Linked DNA regions of Danio rerio. The protein of the gene in region 1 interacts with the protein of each later gene in a pairwise test. Links are inferred from orthologs where the notes say so. Each region holds a gene or a part of one and is shown in the gene's direction. Other genes may lie near its edges. The genes, in order: atxn1a, nudt21, lrsam1, anp32a, nlk2, tox4a and prrc2b.

Region 1 (3,500 bases):
TTTTTTAATGTTTATATGAACATTCCATAACTGTTTGTTATTAAAGGTGCAGTAGGTGATTGTCTTCAGAAACACTTTTTGTTGTACTGGTTGAAAGTCTCTTTACAGTCCAATAGTAATGATTACAGTAAATAATCTAAATGTGTTTATATGTATTTTTATATTCTGGTTAAGGCATAAAACTAAAAAATGTTCATCCAATTAAATAGAGTCAGACCGACATCTCCCATAATTCCGATAAGCAGGTCAGACTGTCTGTCAGCAAATGTAGATTCGGACTTCTGCGCATCTGTTCACGCAGATCCGCCATTAGGACGTGCCCGTCTGCATAAGCGGCCGCGCGGTCACGAGACGGACCGGTAGAAATCAAATGCTTAATTGAAACTTTTAAAAACCTGAATCAATATTGGAGTTACTTTAGCAGGCTGGTGGAAGGACGACATCATGGCTGAAGTATTACTGTTAGACATGTAATGTTCTGTTTTAAAACTATTTTAGTCAGGCTAAGCTTATGTTAGATTGTGTTCTGCTATGAATGACTTATATGCACAGACGTGTTGTTCAGACCCTGAAATCTCCCGGTGAAAGATTGATGTGATTATTTTCAGTTTCATAAGGTCCTTTTACAGCATCGATGATGTAGATCAGGGGTCACCAATCTCGGTCCTGGAGGGCCGGTGTCCCTGCAGGGTTTTGCTCCAACTTGCCTCAACGCACCAGCCTGGATGTTTCAAGTATACCAAGTAAGACCTTGATTAGCTTGTTCAGGTGTGTTTGATTAGGATTGGAACAAAAATCTGCAGGACACCGGCCCTCCAGGAACAAGTTTGGTGACCACTGATGTAGATTTATGTTTAGTTTAACAAGAAAACATCAGTAAATAGCGCTATTTTGCCTAGCCTACTTTATTGAGCTGAAGTTGCTTTTATATTCACATTGGGTCATTTTTGAACAATGACAGCCTTCCTATACTGTTTACCATGCTACTCTGAATAATCTGTCTGAAATAGCATGTAAGTGTGGCTAAGTAATAAATGTAATTCCCGCACAGCACTGGCACTGACTAACTGGCGAATTACATGAACTAGTGGGTTGTCTGTCTGCTGTTGTAACGCGGTGCGCGCGCTCGCGATTTCAGGGGGTGTAGCTTTGAATCACAGTCCCTCCCCGCCGTCCCAATATAATATGCTAAGGGGTTATCGTTTTGGCAGATCACCTACTGCACCTTTAATTATATACAGTGCATATTTGAAGTATATCATTTACATTAGAATCCAAATTGCAGTTATTTGAATCATGCCATTTTATGAGGTGTGATTACAGTTGAAATATCTTGGCAAATTGGCCAAATATTATGACGGTTTCATAATATGCAGATGGATTCCAAAGATGGGTAATTTAATTTCATGTTTAACAATTGTCAGTTAAAAATCTTTACAGCATTTGCAATTGCCCAGGGATCTTTTTTTTTTTACTTTACATCTTCCGTGCAACTTCATCATCTCGCTTTGAATAAGCATATGGTAGTCATTAAGTTTATATTTTTATATGCTGTGAGAGTGTGAATGTCCCCTTATATGAACTCCACCTGCACTCAATCAGTGTAAGTAGATGTGGGGCAAATTGGCAGCTGAAATCATCTCCCTGTTCCATAATCCCTCCCCTGGCTGTCCCCATGGCATCTTTGTTTAGTTTGTGTGGGATTCACTGGCAGAATTGAGTCATTCCTTATTTCTGCTTCCTTCTGTTGTACTGTGAGTGGGCTGTATGAAAAATCTGCTTCATTTGTCTGGGAGTTGAGATGGGGCCACCCACTCGAAAGCAGTTCTAAAGTCTGTCATTTCGAGAGGCACTGATTAACAGATGCTTTTTAGCAAAGACATTCATTCATATCATCAGGCATTTGTGCACGACTTCTACTTTCGGAAGTCATTGTCCTCTCTTTTTGACTCCCTTTTTCTTTTGCAGGTCAGTGTGGAGGTACTAGTAGAGTATCCTTTCTTTGTGTTCGGCCAGGGCTGGTCATCTTGTTGTCCGGATCGGACTACTCAGCTGCTCGAGCTGCCATGCACCAAGCTTTCAGTGGGTGACGTCTGCATCTCCCTCACCCTGAAGAACCTGAGGAACGGTTCCATCAAGAAGAGCCAGGGGCAAGTCTTGGATGCACCTGCACTCGGTCCACCTCTTAAATCACCAAAAGCACTCTCAAGTGGCGCACGAGGGGGTGTTCGGCACACAGAACAGGAAAATGGACTCGGGCAGTGTGCAGATCAAGGAAGTAGAGGCGGTCAAGGCAATAGAGAAAACGGAGAACTGAGGTTTGGTGAAAGGGACAACTGCAAAGCTCCAACACTCACAGAATCAGAGACCAGCAGTAAACCCACAGGTCGAAAAAGAAGGTGGTCTGCCCCTGAGGGTCGTAAAGTAGAAAATCCAGAAGGAGAGCCCCCTTTAACGTTCCCTAAGCCTTCTTTCATCCCTCAGGAGGTTAAAATCAGTATCGAAGGCAGATCAAATATTGGAAAGTGAACATGCGTCGGACTGTCTGCTTTTAAAATTGCAAAATTTGCCCTCAGAATGTTTTTAATTGTTCTGTTGTCCAGATTTCTTTTCCTAAAGGCAAAATTTACTCAGTATCTATGTTATCACATCTAACATTGTAATTGAGGAATTCAATTTTACACAGGCAATTGGTGCAATTCAATTGATTGGTCAAATTCAAGGTGGATGTAGAGCAAGGTGAGAAGGTTGTGAGACGGCATGTTATCCTGAAGGCTCCGGCATATAAAATTACTCACAGCTGACAAGACGTCTCTCTAGTCTCTCACCTACAAAATTCTTTTGGCTTACAAACGACACTTAGTGGCAATTAAAACATTCGCTTGCTGAACCTAAAAATGTTAGTAAGGGAAGATGAACAAGTGGTGTGAATGTGGTGGCAGAACGGAAATCACTCCTCCACTGGTTGCAGGAGTTTACATGATGTCAGCCATCTTGTTTAACTGTGACTACAAGAGACTATCCAAATCGATCCTAACAATATAGAGCAGTATGGTCAGCACAGTTAGACTAGCAAAGATTCTGTTAACGTTTATTGAAGTGCAAAAAGAAGTTTCCAAATACTATGGTACAGGCCAAGAGAGATGATGTCATTGAGCGGTGCCAGTTTGCTCCTCAGAAAAGACGAAACTATCACTTTAAACAGGGAAGATGGACGAATCTATTTTTATATATCCAACTGTCTAACCTTTTATTTGACTATTTTTGTAGTTTTGCATGTCTTACTTTTCAAACCCTCCTATCATACCTGATGGGTAGATTTTTCTTATGTTTCCCTCCCTTTTTTTGTGATGAATGTGTCAACCTTGCAATCAGGGGTCATTTTTTTGTATGTAGACACAGAATGGGTTCTTGTCTATGAATATATATGCATGGATGTATCTTGATGCATACAAACACAATGGGTGAGGAAATCGACCAGTCTTTTGTTTTAGTGCAGT
Region 2 (4,094 bases), on another chromosome or scaffold:
AAGCACAGGTGTCAAACTCAGTTCCTGATGGACCACAGCTCTGCACAGTTTAGCTTAACCCTAATTAAACAAACCTGATTAAACTAATTGAGTCCTTCAGGTTTCAGGTAAGTATATCGAAGCAGGGTTGAAGCTAAACTGTGCAAGGTTGCGGCCCTCCAGGAACTGAGTTTGACATTCCTGGCTTAAAGAATGGCAATAATTGATCACATGTTTAGCAAAATATGCAAGTGATTCAGTGTAGGCTAACTTGTTGTGCCTCCAACACAGGTAGAAAAGAATTCTGACCCAGATATGGCATATATCTGGCAGGGCAGGCATTTGTCTGGCACTGGCATACAGCATGTAGGCCAAACATGGCCCTGGTTTGGCAGAGGTGGCACCGTCTTTAAGACGGCACACAATAGGCCTACTCGGGCCAGATGTTAACAATTGATATATGAGCCATGAACGTTAGGCTTATCTTGACCCACATTTAAAATACATTTTTATTATTTTCAAATAAAGAAAAAAATTCTACCAAGTACCAATCATCGCTTCGAGAAAAAGCAAGCCCATAGCATGCCTAAAGCGCAATGATCCCTGAGTATATCAATTTCATTGCAGACGGGATACAAAAACATATCTGGTGAAGTTTAGGCTCAGTTATGGGTTATTAACTTGTCTGAGACTTGGCCCAGATATTGTCCATGTTTGGTCCTTGTCTAAAAGCCAGAATTGGTCCACTCATATACCATAATTTACTGCCGCAAGTGGGCCAAGCAAAAGCTGATTATGTGGGCCAGATATTTTTTGATATGTGGGAATAGCACCGACTGATGATGTTTTAAAAACACCAAAGGTCCGTATAAAGTATTAAAAAAACTGTTCTGTTTACATTAAAGCAAAAATTAGGCTACGTATACACAAAGCAATCTTGCAAACATTAAATGGTAAAATTCCCTAAATAACTATTACAGGCTATATAAGTGGTTTAATTGTTACTGTCTTTTTCTGATTAATACATGGTTTAATAATCTAGTTTGGACATTTCTGTGGTATTCTTGTGTTTGTGATGTCAGGTTAACAGACACCAAAACACGCCTTGTAGCAGGCAGAAAAGTGTAATAAACAACCACAAACCCTCTGTTTGAAGGGTAAGGGTTTGAATCGTGTCTGGACTGTTCAAACCCACTACTTATAATGTGGAAAACAACTCTTGCTCATAGATCAGATGAGAAAAATCTGAAGAGCCGAAACACACGGTCGTAACACAGGAAGTAACCCAATGTCCCGGATGTGCTTTCACAGCAGAGCGCCGTATTCCAGTTTTCATCGAGCGCCAAGGCTGTGCAATTCAATCACAGTAATAAAGTAATCAACGTGGAAAAAAACGCGATTAGTGCAAATATTAGGAAGTGATTTAATAATCCGTCATACGATGTCAGTTGTACCTCCTAATCGATCATCTACCGGTTGGCCTCGAGGAGTAAATCAGTTCGGCAATAAATACATTACCCAGGCGACTAAACCCCTCACCCTGGAGAGAACAATCAACCTGTGAGTAACTTGAACTTAAAATTCAACACTACAAACGATATATGCGATTACTTAAACAAGCTTTAATGGTTGTAAATCCTAGTGCTGCTGCATTGTGCCTTTCATGTCAGTACGTTAGCATTGTTAGCGTTTGACCATGGCAGACTACCGTAGCTTCTTGCTGCCAGCTCTTGTTTGCATGCGTAACAATACAGTGAAATATTCAGAGTTTTGTTTTTTATGTGGCAAAATGCATGCACATTTATGGCAGTGTGTACATATGCAGGGATATTGAAATATAAGAGTTCGATATAGTTCTTATTAGTTTTGTATTCCATATGTTGCAGTTAGCATTGTTCTCGGTGATTTATCCTAGGGCTCTTTGCACATTTATTCGAAAATATCACTAACATTAGTCGACAGGCGCAATGTTATTGAAATGTTATTTGATTATTTGTGGTTTATGGTGTTATTTGTTATTATTTTGGTGTAACGTTAAGTATGACTTAGAAATCAAACAGTCGAATTCTTGAGCAAGTTACGTAAACAAATCCCAATCATTGATTATATTGAGTGACGGTAGAATTGTTATTATAATTGTTGATTTTGTTAATAACGCTAACCTTATGCCAATGTTAATCAAATATTAATATGAATGATCTTTAATGTAAATTCAAATTTGATATTGAAACCCTTATTTGGGAGTATTATTTTTAATTTGTACAAAAAGCTGTATGAAAACACAATGGAATGAAACGCCCATAATAGGCGAGCACAAGATCCAAATTACACTTTGTATAAAATTAATAAATGATTGCTCTTTTAAAGGTAGGACCTGTGAAATAAAATAAAAAGTAAAAATAAAGCTTTTTAGATGTTAGTTTTGAGGATATCTATAAGCTAGTGTGCTCAAACAGTGACTCAATTTGCGTTATAAGATATATACACATCTAAAGCCCGCAGTTTGTCACTTCCGCCTAATCTATGATTATTCATAGGTCACTTCATGTTTTACTTACTCACCAAATCTTGACCAATCAAATGCTCTCTAGTATGTGAGCATAAACCCCACCCCCTGCCAAGATGGTTCTCATTTGCTATTCATTTGATGCCTTAAGCTCAAACACTCTCATTGGCAGAGATTGTTTGTGATAAAAACAAAACGCTATTCTCTGTTTTTATTTTCTAAAGGGGAGGAACTGCCACCATTTCATTATGTTTCAGTTGAGATTACCTCAAACATGGAATATAAATGCCCATTTCAAAGCACTTCACAAAACCTTTAAACATTCAAAATACCACAGATTGGTAATGCCTTCTGGTCAAAATTAGAGCAGCACAATATTAGGGAGAAATTACCAAGTGATATTTTAATCCTCTGCGATGTACATTGCGATAATTTTACTAGATGAAATGAGTAGGTCTATTCAAAAAGAATTCATAATTTAGGTGATTTATTAAGGGAGTGATTTTGCAATAATATACAGTAACAAACCAATCACAAGCTTTGATAAATACAGTTGGGAATCTGGCATAATTCAGACGCACAGATACATGAACCATTGGATTTTAATAACTTTTTGAAATAATTATGATGAAATGCATCCTCCATTACATAAATTGTGACTTTTTGTGACCCCTTGATATGCAACCACTTATTTGAAAACAAGATTCTTAAAGGTTTTGAAGCTTTATGGAAATTTACATGACTAGCGGCTAGGGCTGCACTGTATTTGAAAAATCTAACATTGGGATATGTTTTTGTTCTGTGACATAAATTGCAATATAAATACAATTTTACAAGCCTATTTGGAAAGAATTAGAAATTTTAGATTGATTGGGATGATTTTGTAGAAGAGTGCATGCATAAAAAAATAAGAAACAAGCATAGAAAAATTCAATAAAGAAAAATACAAATTACATAAACAGTGTTTTATTGTTTTTGAGGAGTCAAACTGCATTTAGGTGTACAGTAAATGATTAATTGTAAAATAAAACAAGCAAATTCATCATTATTATTTTTTAGTTAAAAGCTGTACACATGCTGTTAAAACCCTCACACAATCACAGGCCTCAAAAACACTTGAAATATTGTAAATTATAACCCAGACTCAACATTGCATATACTCGTGATTTGACTATTGCGAATGTTCACATTGCGATATCAATGCTGAAACGATATATTGTGCAGCCCTACTACTAGCGGCCACATACAGTGCTTGCCATCTTTTTTCCCTCATTATTTTGTTATGATGCTATGTTTTGTTTTGCAGTGTGTGGATTATTAAAGCTTTATCACACCTCAATTTAAATGAAATAACATGTTTGTTTTTCCAAAGATACCCTCTTACAAATTACACATTCGGCACCAAGGAGCCGCTCTATGAGAAGGACAGCTCGGTAGCCGCACGCTTTCAGCGGATGCGGGAAGAATTTGAGAAAATCGGGATGCGGCGGACTGTGGAGGGTGTTCTGATCGTGCACGAGCACAGACTCCCTCATGTTCTGCTACTTCAGCTGGGGACAACCTTCTTCAAACTGTAAGCTATAGATTGTGTGTTGTGGATGTGATGAAT
Region 3 (4,270 bases), on another chromosome or scaffold:
TAATAATTATGCTACAACCGAAAAGAAAATGGGCAAACTGGCCTATAGAGAGACAAAGTATGGCATTATAAATATACCATTGTTTGCAGAAATTCCCCCCCCCCCCCCAAAGTTGTTAAAAGAACACTAGCTGGAGTTCTACATTGTACTTAGTCACCAAAGCTATAATTTAAGTAACGGGCAACTTCGATTGTCCATTTGATCAAGACAAGTCAATAAAATTCACCTGGTTACTTTCAGCTTAAAGGCGAATAATGTACATTAAATAATAGCGCTAACTTTTTAATGGTATATTTTATATGCATTTTTGAATAAACGCTAATGTTGATCTTTATAAAATGATAAACTTTATATGCAGCAGTTGTACTGCAATTTCTATTATTTGTAACTTACTATTGCACGTTTAAAATAAAAGGCACGTTAAAACTACATAACGTATTTGACAATTCTACAGACTATTCTGCACTATTAAGCTAAAGACACGAGTTCCATGATGATCACGTGTGCAGCAAACTGCTGAACTAGAGCACATTAATCACGTTTCAAAGCTTACGATGAATCGTTAAAATAAGCCGCAGCTGGCACTTCTAAAGACACATAACATTCAATCCGATTAGACATTAAGTTTAAAATTGTTCGGTTAGATAAAGCTCAGTAGTTTTACCCATTCATCGTTTATTATAGTCCCGGCGCTCTGGAGCCCAGAGCACAAACATGGCCGCTTGGTCACGCTCAAAAACCCGTCGAAACGTTACAGTATTCCTCACACATACCAACTTTAATCTCGTTGGGGTCGAATTTAGGAGGCATGGTGTATCAGATGAAGTTGAGTTCACTTCAATTGGAATTGGTGAGGGTGTCGGATGAACCCGGATTCGGGACGACCGAAAACTGTTGCACCTTCACCACAAAAGTGAAAAAGGAAAAGGCCGAAGAGAGCGCAAGCTGAGAATATAAAGGCGACGAAGTATCGCGAGAACTTGGCAACCTTTCACACTGCGGCGACGCATTACGTCATTCACAACATCCGAGAAGTTGTTCCTGGTGTTTGTGGTGTACTGTCCGAGAGGGAGTATGCTAGGTATCACAGGACAGTAAATTGATTAAGAAACATCTCAGAGAACCTATGTTTTCATAACATATATCAGCTATAGGACTAACGGTTATTTGCGAATATCCATCGTTCAGCAGGTAACGTTACGTCCACTTGTTTATAAAGGTAATGTTGCGCAATTGTCGTAGCCAGTCTTTAGACTGATGAAAGCGGGACATTTGTGAAGGGTTATGGATATTGAATAATTATTATTTGTCAGTTTACGCGTTTGTTTTTGTGTTTTTTTGTCCTACTTCTATTAGTTCAGGGCGTTCTTGGAGATTGTCAACATCACATTCAGTCAGGTTTCACACTGAACCGTCCAGTGGATGTTGTGGGGTTTTAACTAGACAAATAAAATCTCGCTAAGCCTCACGATGTTTTTGTTCAAAAAGAAAAAACCCAGTGGCGATTCCAGGAAACGTCTCGAGTACCAGCTGTGTTTGGTGAGTGTCTGTTGCTTTGCAACGCACCCACATTTGTTACTGATAGAGATTATAAGTGTGAGCAGAGCCTCTTTTTAAAGCAACGTCCACAGTGCAGATCCTAAAACACATGCCTATGTTTTGTGCAGGCCAAAGAAGCAGGTGCTGATGACATTCTGGACATTTCTGCCTGTGAGCTTTCAGAGGTACACTTCAGACACCTTAGTGACAATCCCTATTTTCATTGTGGACAAATGATGAAATGATGAAATATCTGCTTCTTCAGGTTCCCTCCTGTGCCTTCTCTATGTGTAAAGTGCTTCAGAAGAAAGTGAGTCTGTATATTTCTTTCTCTGAACTGTTGGTGGTCGGAGCGAATACAATTTTGAAAGCAGTTTTTTCTTTAACTGTAGGTGTTAATTCTTCATACAAATGACCTGAGGTCACTCGTACCTAAAGGCTGCTGTCTTGGTGCCTTAGCAACATTAAAGGTGAGAGAAACTGACTGATGTCACCAATGAAAAATAAATAACTGTCTCGCTATATTGTCTAGTTATAACATCTCTTTGTTCATTCTAAAGGTCTTGGATCTACATGAAAATAAGCTCACATCACTTCCAGATGAGATCGGACAGCTTTCGTCCTTGCAGGTATATCTATTTTATAAGATCAAAGTTCTGAATTGTACAATCTAAAAACAGAATAATATGCTAATAGAATAATATATATATATATATATATATATATATATATATATATATATATATATATATATATATATATATATATATATATATATATATATATATATTTATAGATAAGTTAACAGCAGTTTTTTACTGTGCACCAACTCACCATATCTGGATGATTTCTGAAAAATTGGGATACAACATAATTTTTTTAAATTATCAAAAGAAAATTAAAAAAATACATATTTTATTAATACTTTTATTGCATTAATTGAATGCAGCCTTGGTAAGCAGAAGATTTATTTGTTCATAAATATTACAATGTTATCAACCTCATTGTTAATAATCCAACAATATCAACTGAATTGCTGTGTATGTTTTGTAATAACTAGAGTACTTTATATTTGTTGCTTTCATAAAACATGTTTTTTTCTCTAAGGTGCTAAATGCAGAGAAAAACCAGATCAAACAGCTGCCAGACACTATAGGAGGTCTTCTGCATCTACAGACACTTAATGTAAAAGGTTTGTTTTTAAAAATATCTATTTTTGTTCATATAATATTCATTTTTTAATTGTTTTCATCACTTTGTCTTCCTGGAATATATTCCATTTAGTTGTTAAACATTTTTCATGTTAACTTAATTTCTGTGTGCTTAACCCTGGATTATTCTTGTTCAAAACATTGTTATCAGTGGGTTAATAAATGTTGCCTACAGGAAACTGAGAAGAGGGGTTAGTACTGCTTTTTACCCTGAACTATAAACCCTGCATTGTGATACTAAACATTAAAACCATGCAAGTAGTGATACATTGTTATTGTTAGTTGCTTAAAAAACTAGCATTTGGGGAAAAAACTAAAATACTAAGAGAAAATGCAACATTTAGAGTTTAGTTTTTACCTTTTATAAACTGTATGCCATCAAATGTGCTAATGCCTTTATGTAAACTGCTGATGTGCTGCTTTGATACAATCAATGATGCTTTTTTAGAATGACTCGGGCTTGCCGGTTTCAAGTTTGAAAAGTCTTTCAGAACATTGAAAATGTGACCGTCATATGACTTTTGTCTTAATTTACTTTAGGTTTTAGGCACAATTTTAAAAATGAAGTGGAAATAAAAAAGATTAAACGAATGACAATGTTTTGACGCATACAGGGAACTGCCTTACTGTGTTGCCTGTGTCTGTGGGTCGCATGAGCAGCCTGCGGACACTCGACATAAGTGAGAACAGCATCAGAGAATTACCCAAAGAACTGGCCAGTGTTCGCACTCTGGAAGTGAGTACCTTATATGTCAATTTCAGTAAATCAAAACAAGACACATATTTGTGTAATATCACATCAAGCTCATAAACTCTGTGTCCACTCATATCTGGGATCTCATTCTCATATTTGTATATGTGTGGTTTCAGAGCCTGATCCTGGACGCACAGGTTATGAGCTTTCCACCTGCGTCAGTGTGTACAGGCGGCACAGAGGAAGTGCAGCGCTACCTCTGCTCAGGTACACCTCTGTTTTCACAGTCTCTGCAACAAAGCAACTGTATTTTACAGACCAGTTTGCAGCAGTGGTTCCCATCCAGGAGCCCCCAAAACAGTGGGGAGATATGAGTTGAAATTGCTGGCAACCACTGTATTTTAATATTTATTCGTTACTGTCTGTCTAGATTCAGACCAATAAATACAGAGTGCATGCTATACAGATTATGCAGATTTGGTTGCAATCCCATATGGCAGCCATTCTGTGCATTATCTGTATTTCAGCATTTATTTTTGATGTTATACAGATATGGGTCTGGAGTATTGTCCTCCATCTCAGTATCTCCTGCCTGTGCTGGAGCATGATGGAGGGAAGCAGGAGATGGACTGTGTTGATGGTGAGGAGATAGTCTGGCAGGTCAGTCTAAATCTCATTATTGTTAAACAGTGCTCACATTTCTTTCTGTGCCATTGTTCTATCAATGCCATACATTTGTGATGTTATCTTGTATTCTCTCTCTTACTGTAGAACAAATTTATGGACTATGAGAAAAGAAAGGTATGTTTGATTAAGTTTTGTGTTG
Region 4 (4,248 bases), on another chromosome or scaffold:
AGTACAATCAAAAGGGCTTGAGAGCAGCCCGCTTGCGCGGGTTGGAGTCAGTGGCCAGATCGAGAGAAGAAGATTTTTTTTTCTGTTGTCTTCAAGGGCAAAATGTCCTGGTGTGAAGTGATTTCGAAATAACGTTGTAAAACGACAAATTCGCCAGTGAAATGCGCTCTCTCAACAAACAACCCAGCCGGTGCACTTGTGAAAACAATCATGCGCCAAGCAGTTGCTCTACAGTTGTTTCTAAGGGGTAGCGGAGCGACACACAGACATGACATCAAATATAGGTAAAGTCTGCTGCTTTTTGTTCGTTTTAAAAGTCAATAAATGGTATTATAATTATTTGAATGTGTTGTATTTTGCGAATTAAGATGGCGCCGGGAACAGTCAGGTGACCTTGTTTTTTTCCCCCTCAATACCAACAATAGTCAAAGCGAGAAGCGGAAGTGAATGCTCCCCCTGAAATACGATTGGCCGGTTTGAACTGTAGGAAAAAGCGTGGGCTCGTGGTTGGAGTGTGCGATGTGGCAGTCAAGTGCATGTGACAAACTTGTTTTTAATAAGACTGGTAACTTATGGGCTCTGCCGTATAGCTGGGCTCGGATGTAATAATTAAACTACGTCGATTCATGTCATATCACCACTTACAGCGTTAGAGATGTCGGGATGTTACAATCTGTACGTCTCATACTGTTATGCAACAGTCACTTTGTTCGCTTTCACTAATTATGATCCATATGTTAAAACCATCATGTTGTTTACATATCAGCATTTATCTAAGCGGGGACAAAAACGGCCACTGCTTCAATCACACTCATGCTTACACGCAGTGTCGTACTTTGTGTTCACTGTAAACTAGAATATAAGTATTGAAGATTTTAGCGCAGATAGTGTCAGTGGTCGCCACCGTGCATTCCCTCCAAAAGGGGGAGGGGTCGTGTTTTCCTGACGGTCTACCATCCATCAGTCCAAAGTGACTGACTGCACTTACCTGATAGGAAATTATATGCTTCAAAACAGAAAGCAGCACTCTGACTAAATATTTATGTTTACCACCCTCGTTCACACGATCCTTGCGGGCTTCATTGCGTTTAATTTTATTAATTTCAAAGCGCCTTGGTAGACAAATAACTCGTTTATCTTCAACTTAGCGTACATAACCCCACTCAAAACTAAAGCAACTACCATAACCTCTATTTAGTATCTGGCGCCTTCGCCAGTTCGGTTGATTTTATCGCATAGATGTCACCCTAAAACAGATTCGCAGGATCAACCTAACTGTTCCTGTAACCCCACCCAGTTTGTAATCGGCCGCTGATTGGCCGTCAGCTCAGTTGTGAGTGTTTTCACATTCCGTTGCGCGTTTCTAATTGGTCGCTGGTGACGACAATCCCACACCCAACTCCCACCTTCTGAGGCATCATGTTTGTGAGACTCGCAATAGCTAGTTTGTTAAGAGGCTATAGCTGAATGTGCAGCAAAGACTCCAAGTCTAACTGCGCTCTTTGGTTTAAATCACTCATTTAGAGTTCACAGAGATGGATATGAAAAAGAGAATTCACCTGGAGTTGCGGAACCGGACGCCGTCAGACGTAAGCATCTTTATTAATTGCTGAGTGATATGATTTTATTAAAACTGTTGGTTAGAGTAGTTCTGCGTGGATGGACAACACTAGATGTGCACGCGTCAAGTTGATGTCTTGAATGAAAAGTTTGCGGCGACTTTGTTGCGAGCCTAGAGCCTTGGATGTTGTTATCTCAGTCTACCTTCACGCGGCCCATAAGTTTACCAGTTTTCCCGACGAATTTCCCCAACTTTCGCGAGACCTTTTGGTGATGCTGTGGTCTGAGACTGCAAGAGCTGCATGCATTCAGTGTATAAACAAGGGAAGCGGCGTGAGAAGCCATATTTGTAACTTTGTAGCCCCTGAACGCGCCCTTTTCCTTTGCATCCTCAGTGCTGCAAAAGTCGCCCGCCGTCAGTTCATGCCTCTCTCACACTTTCGCACATCCATTTTCAATTCAACATTCATACTTGCCAGTCACAGTGGTCGTTGGCCAGTTCGGTAACTTGTTGTGGGACGCATTTTGTGGATTGCTGTGCAGACGATTTGACAGATAGCTCGCGATAACCCGATCGGTCAACTAAATTTGGTGGCATCTCTCCAGCAAACGGCTTTTATTGACGGATTTGAGCCGGAATGGAAAACATTTTCGTTTCTCAATCAAAGAAAGTTGTGTAAATACTTAGGCGGGATCTTTCCGTGGGCTTTCGGCACGTTGCTAATCATCGCGTATTTGGTTTGGTTATGACTGTAAAAACATATGAACACATTTGTTGTTGGCTATAGAAAGAATCGTGTCAGAGTGTATCTTGTTGCGTAAAGGTTCCCAAGCCTATTTAAAACTGCATATGTCGACGACATTGCCAGAATGCAAAACCCAAATCGGTATTCCCTCTTTCACTTGTGTCCTCCGTGTTTATCTTACGATATCTGAAGTGTAACCACGTTCTCTGATGAATTCAGAGCAACAATAATCAGGGACCCCGTCATTGCCCCATTACGCATACCCCAATACGCTGTAATAGAACTCGTAATTAAAATGTCATAACCGTGTTCTGGCCACTTCTGTGCGTCTCCACTGGCTGGATAAAGAGATTTTTAGCCGTGTGGCTCGGCTTGTTATTGACAGACTGGGCGCTTATGTGAGCGCTACGCAACTTGAAGCTGCGCTGCTCTAGTTGCAAGATCTAGGACAAGCCGCCATTTTAACCAGCAACAAAGACGCACGATATTTAATCGAGCAGAGAATCGTCGCCGCCTTCGTCTCCGTGCTTTGAACCGAGCAGAGGCGCTGAATACCGAGAGCCGAGCCCGTTTAAAGCCGGGACATTTAATTTTTATTCCGTGAAAGTCAATACCTTTCGCTTAAAGAGCGAGTCCGTTGCATTATCATGCGCCTCTCTGCCCCTCCTACTCGTGAATTCTTGGGTCCGTCCTCGTGTCTTCGCTCTTCCAAGACAATGTAATGCATTTGTGTAACACCCAGGCTATCGTTTACGCGTCTTCGCTTTGCTGTTCCAGCACGCACTATAGTAAAATGTTCTCCCAATGAGAAAACAATGTACGCCGCTTGTTGCGGAGTCAGCCATTTTGTTGGATGGAGAGTCAAATGTGAGGTTTTGTCAAAGCACCCAAACACGCACCCCTATCTGTTACTGTAGACCGCATGCTGAAGTAAACTTAACAACTGAATGGCGCCCGACTCGGTCGTGGCGTGTTTATTGTGCTCAGTTTTTTTCTATCTTTAGCCAATTATCTTCGAGGATGAATGTGTTGTATGCCATATAAAAGTAATTTCTGAGAATTATAAACCATTTAAACGAAATTTCTTTTACACTAATGTGTATTTTAAATGACATTTCCTACGTGGGAATCAATAAAATAATCGACTAAAACATACTTAGAGGACACTGTAATTGCTGATTATTATGTAGACAGTAAATGAAAATGTGCCTTTTTATGTGAGTTTTAATATGGTTAGCTTTTTGGTGGTAAACAATAACATTAGAAGCAAACTGAAGAAGTTACAAACAGCTGATTTAACCACCTCGTTCATCTAATTGTTTTGAAGTTGCAGGTACAGACTAACAAATGCTTTATTAATTAATCATAACATTTTAATATCCTTTTCTTCTCATGTGCCCTTGAACAGGTGAAAGAGCTTGTGCTCGACAACTGTCGGTCAAATGAGGGCAAAATCGAGGGCCTCACTGATGAGTTTGAGGAACTGGAATTTTTAAGCACAATCAATGTAGGCTTAACATCAGTCACCAATTTGCCGAAGCTTAACAAACTCAAAAAGGTAACGAGCAGCTTCTTGTTAATTTTTTTCACAAGTGCCAGCGGTGTAAAGTTTTGCTAGGTCTTATTAATTTGCTACTGAATCATGTTCTCCGCAGCTCGAGCTCAGCGATAACAGAATCTCAGGGGGTCTGGAGGTACTGGCAGGGAAATGTCCCAACCTCACCCATCTCAACCTCAGTGGCAACAAAATTAAAGACCTCAGCACCATCGAACCCCTGGTAAGCTGCGTTCATACTAGTGCTAACGGAGTCATGTGCTGATAAACATTTATTATTAATATTGATGTGTGGAAGTATTACCAATACCGACTACAAACCTCAAAATTTTGTTGTTGGTTGTCAAATGCTTATCAGTGTTTGTTTTTTTCACTGTCCTCTTTCCT
Region 5 (4,028 bases), on another chromosome or scaffold:
ATTAAAACATGATAATAATAATAATAATAATAATAATAATAATAATAATAATAATAATAGGTGGTTCATTCCGTTGTGGCAACCCCTAATTAAATAATATAGAGCAGTTAAAATAAGACCAGTTAATATATGGGACAAAACTTGGACCTTTGTCAGTGAGGGGTGTATCTTTCGAACTATACGGACCTGAATTACCCATATAATTAAGACTTGAAACAAACAAAAACTGAAAGTAAAATGATCATTATTTTTATTTATTTATAAACCTGGACATTAAAACAAATAAACAAAAATGAACATATACCTACAAGTGATAGATGATAAGTGCCACGTGGTGTTTCTGTAATATTTATACTAATAATTAAGTTTAAAAATGTATTGTTACTAAATATACCGACATATATTTTTAGAATACTACACATTACTCAAATAAAGCTTTATTTATATCATACGTGCAAGTAAGTTTCATAAATAATTATAAAGTAATTACAAGTAATACAATGAATAACACATAAGTACCAATTGAAACAAACAGAAACTGAAAGTAATGATCTGTATTTTTATTTATTTATAAACTTGGACATCATAATTAATAAACAAAAACAACAAAACTAACATATAAGTAAAAGTGGTAGATGATAAGTGTCAAGTGGTAAGTGTTTCTGTAATATCTATACTAATTATTAAGTTTAGAAATGTAGTTTTACTAAATATACCGACATATTTATTATAAATATTATGCATCACTCAAATTAAGCGTATGTTAATGTAGAGTGAAAACTACTATAAACTTCGCGAACTGTATTATATTTAATAAATATTGTATAATGTTTGACCGTCCTTGTTCTGCATTTTGCCTTCGATTTGAAAAACGATTGGACAGCGAATCATGTGTCTCCTTTCAGACGAGAGACTCACTTCAACGGCAGGTGCTAATTGGATGGCATGTCTCGCGTAATATCTCTGGGTACGTGGGCCCCCTCGCTCTCCATTTCGGCTCAACGGCTCCGTAGACTCGCACTGTCTTTTACAGTATGCTGTAGCCGTAATGGCGCTTGCTTCCACATGCAACAAGGGCCAGTTTATTATGGCTGGACCTGCGTCTCTTCCTCTCGTCCGCTGATTGGCTGTGCTGCTTCAGAGCCGCGAGGTGATTGGTGCAGAGAGCTGTCAACGGACAAGGAATAGACGGGTACCCAAGACGGCAGGGTTGCGCGTGTGCCTTCCCAGGTCCTGGCAGCACCATCCGGCGAGGGGGTGAGGACGCTGGCCGCCTGTTTTCTGGCTGCAAGGAACACTGGATGTTTTTCTTTTGATTTCTTCTTCACTGGATGTATACATGCCCACGATTTCGAGAGCAGGAACGCGGCACGCCGGTGAACGAGCGCATCGCTATCGATGGGGAAAATAAGTTGAAGGGCTTCGGAAGAATGTTTTCCTTGTTCCAGGGAAACGGATTGCTGTGTTGATCAGCGTGATGGGTGTTTCGAGAGGATTTTGACATTTGGAGAGGATCTGGAGCAGCTATCCATCTACAGCTTAGGAGGGCTCGAGCGCAACAGAAAGCGGCAACAGAGCGCCATACTGCAAAACAAGCTTCCCGGATCGATCCAGTGTAGCAGTCTTTTCGTGCGGGAGAATTGCGCGTTTTAATGTACATGTAAACAAGTAAGCTGGCGAGCAAGTACCAAGTCAGCAGCAGCGGTGGCCTGATTGAGATCCGCGTAACTTCTGCAAACTGCATGCAGCCCTGGCGGTGGAAACAGGGCTGGAAGAGCCCAAAATGGCAAATATGAAGAAATCCAAAAGATGAATGTTGCATATCCCCCGTAACTTGTACTGTTCGCCTAATTTCCCTTCTTTCCGCGCAAGCCCGAGTTTCGAGCCGAAGCAAGGTGCTCCTCATGCCTCCGACATGAGGGAGATTTAAGGCCGTGCGGAATTGATTTATTATGGGGGGAGCGCATTCTTTTGATTTAATCCCTCTCTCCTTTTTTACTTTTCTTTTGTTTACCCTCCGCTTGAGGGTTCTTGGATGTCCGCGCTTGTCATTTTGCTAGTCTGAAACGTACAACGCGTAAAGATTCTCCGAAGTAGGTCAGATCAAAGCTGAAGAGTTGTTAGTATGACACCTTTTCACTCTCGTCTTGATGTATGCCGGACATTTATGCTTTGATTTTACCCGTCGTTTGGCTCTATGACGGCCAAATGAGAGTTTGACATCTTGGCAGCCTCCCACTCCATCTCGTTCGCCTCTTTGTTTTGTTTTTCCACCTCTCATTTCGGGCTGTTGAGTGAGTGAATGGCTCTGTGCGGAACCACGGCTTCCAATGCCGCGAAAATGATGGCTGCGTACAACGGCGGCACCGCGGCAGTGGCAGCGCATCACCCGCACCATCACCACCAGCTGCCACATCTCCCGCCACCCGCCCACCTCCACCACCATCACCACGCTGGCCAGCATCACCTCCAGCACCCCGGCTCGGCCGCCGCCGTGCACCCCGTACAGCAGCACGCTTCTACGGCCGCGGCCGCTGCTGCTGCGGCGGCGGCGGCGGTGATGCTGAACCCGAGCCAGCAGCAGCCGTACTTCCCCTCGCCCGCTCCTGGACAAGCTCCGGGGCCGGCGGCCGCTGCAGCCCCAGCACAGGTGCAAGCCGCCGCCGCGGCCGCTGTAAAGGTGCACCATCACCACCACCAACACTCGCATCACTTACAACAACAGCTGGATATAGAGCCGGACAGACCGATCGGATACGGAGCTTTCGGCGTGGTTTGGTGAGTGGAACAACTTCTGTGTTAACAGAGAATGCTCTAAATAATGCTTCTTCTGACGACTTCAAAAGGGCTCTTGAACATTAGCCTAATGTTTATGTAAATCTAAACAACAAGTTTTTATGATCTATTAATATGTGCATTTTAAAAGTTTATTATAATGTTGTGCAAGATATGATTATTAAAAATACATACGCAGAATAGAAAAAAGTTTTGTTATTATGTCACACAGAGCTGGTACACCCCTCATGGGTGCCGCCATGTTTGTCACATGACTAGCTGTGGCATAAGTTCACACCTTACTGTTATTTTGAGATGACAACACCAGCTGTTCATGTCGGCTGACTTGCAATTAGTCTTTTGTATGGACTTATTGTTAACGTCTTTACTTAGAATCTTAATCAATATGTCACAGTTAGGTGATTTACTGGTCACATGGTACAAGCAGTTGCTCAGAAACTCTTGTATTTTGAGTTGTACTAGAATGTGAACAGCTTCTACAAGTTGTAATCTATAAAACAGAGTAATTATGACACCCATGCCACTAATTGTTGCAAAAGCTTTCAGTGGAAAGTAGTTGAAGTCTGCATGATAAATGGCAGATGATGTCATGTCGATGAGTCTTGTTCAAGAAGTCACTAGATTCATTCATTTCTTTAATTCCTAAAGGACTTAAAATGTTGCTACAGAGTCGAACAAGCAAAGTGCATTTATAAGAGCTGTAGCAATAAGTCTATTCAGTTTGGTATTCTCTATTGAATTGATTCAGAACTTCGGCATTAACATCAGGTGGTGCTCTAGGCCATTGGGTCCAGACTTGATTCTGGAGGGCCGGTGTCCTGCATATTTTAGTTTCAACCCCAACTGAACACACCTCAACCTGCTAATCAAGCTCTGGCTGTCTCTCAATATGTGTTCTTCAGCGATGTCATAATTAACTGCCATAGATCAGTTCCAAAACTCAAGACCGCAAGAACGGAGGATGTGGAAAGGTTCCCGGATGCGTTCTTGGTATCGAGGATGCACCAATACAGACTTGAGCACCAAACTAGCTCTAGAAGTCCCAATAGTGATTGAGACTTGAGGTGGGAAGCGCAGCCTTTTTATTAAAGTTCAGAGATATAACTTATTTATTTATCTCAGGAGTTTCCCTAAATGAGAAAGTAAACATTACCATGAAAAGCTTTACAAAGACACATAAAGGGTTTTTATTTGTTGAAATTCGTATTAAAATCTGTTTTATTTGTATTGTG
Region 6 (4,095 bases), on another chromosome or scaffold:
GGATCAAATCTTTAACATGGGTTTTTCAAAAGAAAAAATGGATTACATAATTGGATAAGATCACTTTGATCCAAAAAATCTGGATTAAACTGATCCCATCAGAAAGGTGGATTTCATGCCCAAAATGTAATGTAAAATGTATCAAATAATACTATATTTGGATTATGCAGTATGTAACAAGGTATCCTATTTATTCATAAGGTTTTAATTGTATTTGTTCATCCGTCATGCTACAGTCATTAGGTAGGCTTTAACGTATTCAGTCTTACAGTATAGGCCTACAGCAAAGTAGAAAGAGTTTGGCCTCATAAAAAAATCCCCCAAACAGCTGTCAAAACTGACCAAAAACAATACATTTTATTCTGTCAATATGATCATATTGTATATTCATCACAATGGAAAATATTTTTGTTTTAGAATATTTATTAGTGATGCATGCAATGATTACAGAATAATAAAAAAAATGCAAAGAATGACAATCACTGATATTTAAATCACTTTCAACAATAGCAAAAAGAGACTGAAAGGGCAGAAGCACAGCTTCATCTGGCAGACTAACAACTGACTCTGACCAAACTGCAGCAAACCAAGACTAGACCTGAGATCCGCCCATAAAAGAAATGACAATGCCTGTACTTTGTGTGTATAGTATGCTGCTAAGTCTTACTTTTTGTATGTTTAATAATAGAAAAATTACGATGCCTGTTTTTTATTTATATTGTTTGCAAATATAGACATCAGTTAACATCTTAATGAAATTAAAAATATCCAGATAACACAAACAAAAATGTAAATTTATGAAATAGACAAAATTAAATAGACATAATTAAAACAAAACAAGATATTATGTTGTAATGGCTTGGGGAGATTGAGAAACTACATGAATTTATTCGTTTCAAATTCAACAACGCATAAGGCCATAATTGCTGTTGTTTAAAACGTTTTTTTTTACAATTAAATAACTAACCAACCTCTTAAAGATGGTTGACAACACTGACTGTGACTGGTCCTGCTTGAAGTTCGCTGAGAAAAGTAACGCCAGCCTTGTGAGTTGTGATGATCACAGTAGTAAAGTAAAAAAGTGATGGTGGCCGTGACCATTGAATGAATTACATAAAGTGTGGGGAGTTAAAAGAGAAAAAAATGCTCCACATTACAGGAACCGCGCGGGTCGTGTTAAATACTGCCAGGAGAAGGTTTTCAGGATTTGGACACAAATGAACTTATGACCGGAATGCGATTAATAAGACTTGCAAGTTGCAAACAGACAAACATAGCAGAGTACCGATCGAATCGGTCCATTTTAGCACTGGCAGAAGCTATCCATGCTAGTGAGACTCTCTAGGCAAACTTTGTTTGTTCAATCTGAATATATATTAAAAGTGTACAGTTTATAGTGTTATTTAATGGAATGTTGGATTTTACATTCAGCGAACAGGCGAATTCTCTGCCCTCGAGGCCTGTGTTATGAATGAAACCTCATGTTGGGGTTTAACAGCAGCGCTTCTGCGAACTAGCACGAATTAGCCAGTTAACGTTAGCTCAATTTGTTAGTGGCTAAATTGGTAAGCCTTCACCTACCACTCATCATAAACGCTTTTAACGGCTCTGGTTGTATTAACGCTGCTCTGTGGATCGTCTAATGAAGTTTATTGACGTTATTCAGTCGAGCAGCACAAACCTTATGCCGAACAATACAAGATGCTGTGTTGCTTGGCTCTTTTCTTTTGCTGACTAGCATTATTTCCCATTCATTATTTGTATTTTTGGTTGCTTTAGTCTGTTGCTTTTGGAATATTAGCAGCCCACTCGTTCCTCATATCAAGAAACCCAACAGACATTATTTATATATTTATCTAGTATTTATAGTATCCTCATGGATCTGAATTTTTACACGGAACTCTCTGACGGGACCGGTCAACATGTTGATTCCGAGTTTATGGACAACTCGTCCTACAATGGATATGATTCAGTAAACAAGGTAAGTCTGGCTGCTTTGTGTGTATATATATATATATATATATATATATATATATATATATATATATATATATATATATACATACATATATATATATATATATATATATATATATATATATATATATATATATATATATATATACATATACATATATATATATATATATATATATATATATATATATATATATATATATATATATATTCAGTTCAACGTAACTATATAATAAAACGCGTTTGCATGTGGTTATTGCACCTTTTAACATCCGTTTATTAGTTTGCAGGTGGCAGTGATTCATACCTGACCACCAGTGGACCTGGTCATCATTTTCTTGAGGTAGTGCTTCTTTTTGGACTGTTTTCTGAGCTAGCTTAAATTGACTAAATGTATTATTTTAAGCTTTACAGCGTCAAAGCATGCAATATAATGTTATATATCTTAATTTGTTTCCATTAGTGACTAAAGTGTCTCTGGATTTATTTAAATTTTGTGATCAAAAGATGACTATAAATCTTTTTACCTTGTTTTATAAAATACACCATATAAAACGTTAGCACATCAATAGTTTGTGTTAAAATAAATGCTTGTCAGGAATATTTATAACAAGACTTATATTTATAACTTGGTAAAATATTAAAAGTCTAATAATGATCACACAGCAGCCCCAACATGCATTTATAATTACTGTCTCTCCTTTAAACTTTTTAGTTTTTTACCCAAAATAAAAAAAAGTTTGCAATGTTAAAAAATGATTATCTCTCATCATTTTATATATATTTTTAATTGGCACAAATTTGAAAAAGTATGTTGTTTAATTTTTATGAAATCAATGTGATGATTTTGAGACATTATTTCACTCATATTCTCAGATTTAATTTTCAGAAAGATCTTCCTAATATTAAAGTAGACATTTAAGTGTAATATGTTTTGATATCTTTAATAAATTAAGTTTGATGCAGGCACTAGAATGGGACATCTTGTGTATTTTTTTATATACATGTTTTTATATTTTATTTCTGAAAATTTTTATGCAACTTTCTACCTTGCCATAAAAAAATTAGGTTTTCACCAACATAGCGAAACTCTTTCTAGGTTTTGTTTGTCTAGGCTTGTATTCAACAGGACTGCAAAAATACTCAAAGATGTCTCTGTCAATATTTTCAAACAATTATATTTGATTTACCAAAGTCACACAAGTGGCAAGAGATGTCACATCCATAACAAAGATTTTTCCTTATAAATGTGAAAATATAAAATAAAATCAGTCATTTTTGTTCTATAGAGAGCAAACATGTATTCTTTTGATCATCATTATTTCTTTTAGATTGTCCAATTTAATTCACAGAACTTGTACAAAGTACGTTGCATACTGTAAACTTTTTTGGTCACATCCATCACGTATGTTTATTTTCCTCATATAAAATAAACAAATGTTTACAGATTGATATTTTTCTGATCCCATAACTCTGTGGTGAGTTGTTTTGGAAAATATAAACAGATGTTTTAACAAAGTTAATATATAATTTCTCTGTGAATTTATGTTCTGAGATTTTACTGCAAATGTCGCATCCATAGCGCTGGAATTGCTCTTATGTCTTTATTTTTCATTTCAGAAAACATTCTATACACCCTGTCTGGGTGATGAAGAGTTCGAAATCCCAATCTCCTTGGATCCAGACTCTGCTCTCACCATAGAGGATGTGGAGGCACATTTTGGAGAGCTGGCCGAACAGGCTGAGAGCTCAAGGGGTGCTGGAGTTGGAAGTGTTCTTGCCAGTAATACTGTAGTTGGGGGAAATGATCCATCTTTTGCCTCCACCTTCATGAATCCCTCATCTCAGGGTATGGAGCACCTGACTTTGGGTGTGATGAACCAGCAGGGCGGAAGTGCACTGCTGAGCTCAACTCTGGGTGTGGTAAGCTTTTCTCTTTCTAGCAGTGGCAGCAGTGTCTGCATCGTGTTTGCTAAAGGAAATCCAGCACTTGTTTCTAATGGATTATAAAATGCTAGATAGGGCTGCATGATATTGAAAAGATCTGACATTGTGATATTTTTTTCCTGCGATATTTATTGCGATTTGAATACATTTTAACCAGATGGCTTGAATAGC
Region 7 (3,500 bases), on another chromosome or scaffold:
TTCCCCTATAGCGCATGTGTTTGGACTGTAACCGGAGCACCCGGAGGAAATCCACACCAACACGGGGAGAACATGCAAACTCCACACAGAAACACACACTGACCCAGCCGAGACTCAAACCAGAGACCTTCTTGCTATGAGGCCACAGTGCTGACCACTGAGCCACTGTGACGCCTTGTTGATTTGTAATATGTAATTCAATCCAGAGTTCAGCAAGCAGATTTGGAGATTTCAGGAGTTGCCCGTTCATTTATAAAGGATTTTGGGTGGGCATGTGCTCCCCGAGGGCGTTACAAATATGGCCGCCGAGTGAACAGACTTTTTTGAAAGGGACTTTGATTAAATCCCTCCTCCTTCTTCAGCTCAATTTCATGTAGAATCATGTGACGTGATCAGTTTTTCTTGTCATGCGATGATTAAACAGTAAGAGTTGAGGATGAACATGCATGTGCATCAGTGTACTGCATCTGTGCAGCTCTTAAAGGGACAGTGCGCTATATTCCTGCTGTCAGCTGAGCTTATTATTAATAAACGAATAATAAAAGACAAACTCACTCTCTGCTCTCGACAGAAAGGTCATCTTTAATACATACAGTGACCATATTTATATACTTCGTAATATGTGTATATTTGAATACTGTTGTGTTGTTTGTTAGTGCCGTTCTGCTTTGCTATTGAGAATTGTGAAGTGTCATGATCTTTAAGACGTACAGGTGTAATGGCAGCCTTATTTACAGAGAGAAACTAAGATATAAACTGCACTGCAGCTCTAAGTGTGAACTGAAGGACAGATTGAGGTGTGTGTGTGTGTGTGTGTGTGTGTGTGTGTGTGTGTGTGTTTACAGCAGGTGCATCTGTAGGTCACACTGATTGTGTCGTGCAGATCTGCATATATTAAAGGCTTGTGTGCAAAAGGAGAGATGCTCATGTGACGGTGTCGGTCCTGTGTGTTTGGAGATTATGAGGATGTTATTACAGCTGCAGTTATCATACAGATAAAGTGGATCTGTTTCAATGTCACAGCAAATATTCAGTCTTAAATGCTATGATTTAAAGGGGCAGCGCACCCAAAATATTCATAATATTATACTCGGGTGACATTTTCCAGCAGTGTGTGCTTTAGCTGCAGATGCTAACCTCAAAGCAGACTCTGCATGGCGTATCTAATACAATATTATGCTCTTCATCATGTTATGGTTTTAAAAAGTGCTGAAATATTGACTGAAATCTCACAGTAACCGAGTCAACACATCATTAATCTACTAAAATACACATAGCTGGTGTCTTTAAGTTCATATTTTCCAAACAAAACTCTACCTAAATACTCATACAAACACTATTATTATTATTATTATTATTAATATTTGAGAACTTGCATTATTATTGCATTATCTATTTAAGTTTGTTTATAAAAAGAATAGGTTAATATTGGAGATGCTAAACATAGCTGCACTTTTAGAAACACTCGTACTCTTTATTTTACTTTGTTCTCTAAATACCCAGCTCTATTTCTGGATGTGAGCTGATGCATTTATTGATATGCATTGAATCTGTCATCTGATTGGCTGATCAGAGTGTGTGTGTGTGTGTTTCCTCCTGCAGTTCCGTTGCATCATCAGCACAGCTGCCGGAGCCGCAGCCGCCGCTGGCTTTACAGAAATCTGTGTCCAATCTTCAGAAGCCCATGCCAATAACCAGCCCGGAGGTACGGCGTGTGTGTTGTACATGAGTAAAGGTCATAATCACGTGTGTGAGTGTGGTGTATGAGTAAAGGTTATAATCACGAGTGTGTGTGTTTTCTGTTCCTGCAGAGCACAAGTACAGGTGGACCAAAGCAATGGGCACAGCTCAATGGAAAGGCAGTCGATCAAGATGGTAATGATTTTCAGCTCTCTCTGCGGATAATATGCAGATATTCAATGATTCAGCATGTCAAGACTGTGCATGTGTGTTATATTAATATTAGAGCATGACCAATTTTATTTCAGATACCGATATCAGACTAAATAAGTACCGATATCGATGTATATCGGCCGATATTCTTCATATGCAGAGTACAGTATCAGTCAAAAGGACACATACCTATTCATGTGTCTAAACTTGACTAGTACTATAAACAAAATACAGTATAACCATGAATATATATTGATATATGAACATTTTTGCTATGATTTTTAATATATATTTTAAAGTAATTTTTTAGCTCGGCTCAATATTGTGATGATAAAGTAAATCATGAGAAACACTTTATTTTGATGGCATTATTATTACTATTCACAGCTCTTAGTTTTACACATACACAGTACAATATGCATTGAAATGCTTATACTGTAAAAAATCATATTTAAAGCAACACCTTGGAGTATAATTTGTAATGCTAATAATATATAATAAATATAAATGCTATTTGATCTGTGGTGTTTGTGTTATCTGTTGAACTGAACATGTTGTAATGTAATTGTTTCTGTTTGGATCATCTCTTACTGAATTCTGAAGTTATTATTATGTCACGTTTTCACCATTATTTTTACATGAAATATGCATAAGTTGCTGAATGCCAATAAATAAACAAAACTCAAATGTGTGTGATTGTGTTTCAGGTTTAAAGGTCTCAAGCCGACTGCAGCCCTTCTCTCACGAGGATTTTCCGACGCTGAAGGCAGCAGGAGAACAGGACAAAGTTGGCAAGGAAAGAAGCGTCTTCGATCCGTCGTATGGGCCCGGACCAAGCCTCCGCCCGCAGAGTGAGTCCAGCTCTACACACCGACGTTACGATTAAAGACCCAAAAATGAAGATTCGGTCATTAATTACTCGTTCCACACCCTGAGAGCTTCGTTCAGTCAAAGCACAAATGCAAATTATCATGATGATAGTAAATCTTTCATACCGGGGATGCCCAAAGATTTTCATATGAAGGGCAAAAAACCAAATATCATTGAGAGCCGTGGGGTGAAGATGAATATACCAAACTATTTTACAATAAAGTTGCTGTGGGTAATTTCCCTTATTTATTTCAGAATATTTCAAAATAAATAGAAATTATTTAATTATAACTTATTGCAATAAAACATTGAACACTGAATACACTAGTCAAGCAGAGTCTGCCTTTGCCTTGATTTGCTCACTAAAGTCTCTGCACTGTCCTCTATCTGTCGGGTGACAGTATGCACATTATAAACTAAATTACAGCATTTAAATTTAAACATTTCATTTCAATTCGCTTTTTTTTGTGGCTTTACAATAAAACAAGCAGACTAAAGGTTGTCATTTTAAATTTGAAATGACACCATCTAAACCATCTCCATCACTCTCTTCTCAGATGGGATGGTGGGCCAAATCAAAGGTTACCATGAGCCTACCACGCATCACAGACATGTGATTAATTGCATTCAATTTATGCATTGGTTGTTTATCTAAATTTGACCAATCAGATCTTGTTAACTTTAACCCCGCCTTCAAAGTAGTTTCTGTTCTGCTATTGGCTGGAGCTGAACCCAGA

Evidence for each region.
Region 2: the proteins of atxn1a (region 1) and nudt21 interact in binary tests that used the Homo sapiens proteins (3 or more experiments, as listed by UniProt). The link is inferred for Danio rerio from reciprocal best matches to the Homo sapiens genes ATXN1 and NUDT21.
Region 3: the proteins of atxn1a (region 1) and lrsam1 interact in binary tests that used the Homo sapiens proteins (3 or more experiments, as listed by UniProt). The link is inferred for Danio rerio from reciprocal best matches to the Homo sapiens genes ATXN1 and LRSAM1.
Region 4: the proteins of atxn1a (region 1) and anp32a interact in binary tests that used the Homo sapiens proteins (3 or more experiments, as listed by UniProt). The link is inferred for Danio rerio from reciprocal best matches to the Homo sapiens genes ATXN1 and ANP32A.
Region 5: the proteins of atxn1a (region 1) and nlk2 interact in binary tests that used the Homo sapiens proteins (3 or more experiments, as listed by UniProt). The link is inferred for Danio rerio from reciprocal best matches to the Homo sapiens genes ATXN1 and NLK.
Region 6: the proteins of atxn1a (region 1) and tox4a interact in binary tests that used the Homo sapiens proteins (3 or more experiments, as listed by UniProt). The link is inferred for Danio rerio from reciprocal best matches to the Homo sapiens genes ATXN1 and TOX4.
Region 7: the proteins of atxn1a (region 1) and prrc2b interact in binary tests that used the Homo sapiens proteins (3 or more experiments, as listed by UniProt). The link is inferred for Danio rerio from reciprocal best matches to the Homo sapiens genes ATXN1 and PRRC2B.

The regions. Positions count from the first base shown.
Region 1 is NC_133194.1:34,920,948-34,924,447, forward strand, and holds part of atxn1a (ataxin-1a), read left to right. Parts: intron 1-1,968; coding exon 1,969-2,529; 3' UTR 2,530-3,500. UniProt on the Homo sapiens protein: Chromatin-binding factor that repress Notch signaling in the absence of Notch intracellular domain by acting as a CBF1 corepressor. Binds to the HEY promoter and might assist, along with NCOR2, RBPJ-mediated repression. Binds RNA in vitro.
Region 2 is NC_133193.1:24,124,155-24,128,248, reverse strand, and holds the start of nudt21 (cleavage and polyadenylation specificity factor subunit 5), read left to right. Parts: upstream 1-1,294; 5' UTR 1,295-1,420; coding exon 1,421-1,539; intron 1,540-3,857; coding exon 3,858-4,058; intron 4,059-4,094. UniProt on the Homo sapiens protein: Component of the cleavage factor Im (CFIm) complex that functions as an activator of the pre-mRNA 3'-end cleavage and polyadenylation processing required for the maturation of pre-mRNA into functional mRNAs.
Region 3 is NC_133180.1:33,499,860-33,504,129, reverse strand, and holds the start of lrsam1 (E3 ubiquitin-protein ligase LRSAM1), read left to right. Parts: upstream 1-1,470; coding exon 1,471-1,539; intron 1,540-1,667; coding exon 1,668-1,724; intron 1,725-1,804; coding exon 1,805-1,849; intron 1,850-1,931; coding exon 1,932-2,009; intron 2,010-2,099; coding exon 2,100-2,168; intron 2,169-2,646; coding exon 2,647-2,731; intron 2,732-3,364; coding exon 3,365-3,486; intron 3,487-3,620; coding exon 3,621-3,711; intron 3,712-3,994; coding exon 3,995-4,104; intron 4,105-4,215; coding exon 4,216-4,245; intron 4,246-4,270. Other genes in the region: rpl12 (large ribosomal subunit protein uL11), read right to left, coding at 774-810.
Region 4 is NC_133182.1:33,399,583-33,403,830, reverse strand, and holds the start of anp32a (acidic leucine-rich nuclear phosphoprotein 32 family member A), read left to right. Parts: upstream 1-1,448; 5' UTR 1,449-1,524; coding exon of another isoform or gene 1,525-1,535; coding exon 1,536-1,589; intron 1,590-3,714; coding exon 3,715-3,864; intron 3,865-3,961; coding exon 3,962-4,084; intron 4,085-4,248. UniProt on the Homo sapiens protein: Multifunctional protein that is involved in the regulation of many processes including tumor suppression, apoptosis, cell cycle progression or transcription. Promotes apoptosis by favouring the activation of caspase-9/CASP9 and allowing apoptosome formation.
Region 5 is NC_133190.1:32,750,437-32,754,464, forward strand, and holds the start of nlk2 (serine/threonine-protein kinase NLK), read left to right. Parts: upstream 1-1,228; 5' UTR 1,229-2,182; coding exon of another isoform or gene 2,183-2,244; 5' UTR 2,245-2,302; coding exon 2,303-2,440; coding exon of another isoform or gene 2,441-2,683; coding exon 2,684-2,778; intron 2,779-4,028. UniProt on the Homo sapiens protein: Serine/threonine-protein kinase that regulates a number of transcription factors with key roles in cell fate determination. Positive effector of the non-canonical Wnt signaling pathway, acting downstream of WNT5A, MAP3K7/TAK1 and HIPK2.
Region 6 is NC_133177.1:41,101,838-41,105,932, reverse strand, and holds the start of tox4a (TOX high mobility group box family member 4-B), read left to right. Parts: upstream 1-1,295; 5' UTR 1,296-1,876; coding exon 1,877-1,981; intron 1,982-2,260; coding exon 2,261-2,320; intron 2,321-3,597; coding exon 3,598-3,900; intron 3,901-4,095. UniProt on the Homo sapiens protein: Transcription factor that modulates cell fate reprogramming from the somatic state to the pluripotent and neuronal fate. In liver, controls the expression of hormone-regulated gluconeogenic genes such as G6PC1 and PCK1.
Region 7 is NC_133180.1:78,417,723-78,421,222, reverse strand, and holds part of prrc2b (protein PRRC2B), read left to right. Parts: intron 1-1,602; coding exon 1,603-1,705; intron 1,706-1,811; coding exon 1,812-1,875; intron 1,876-2,600; coding exon 2,601-2,744; intron 2,745-3,500.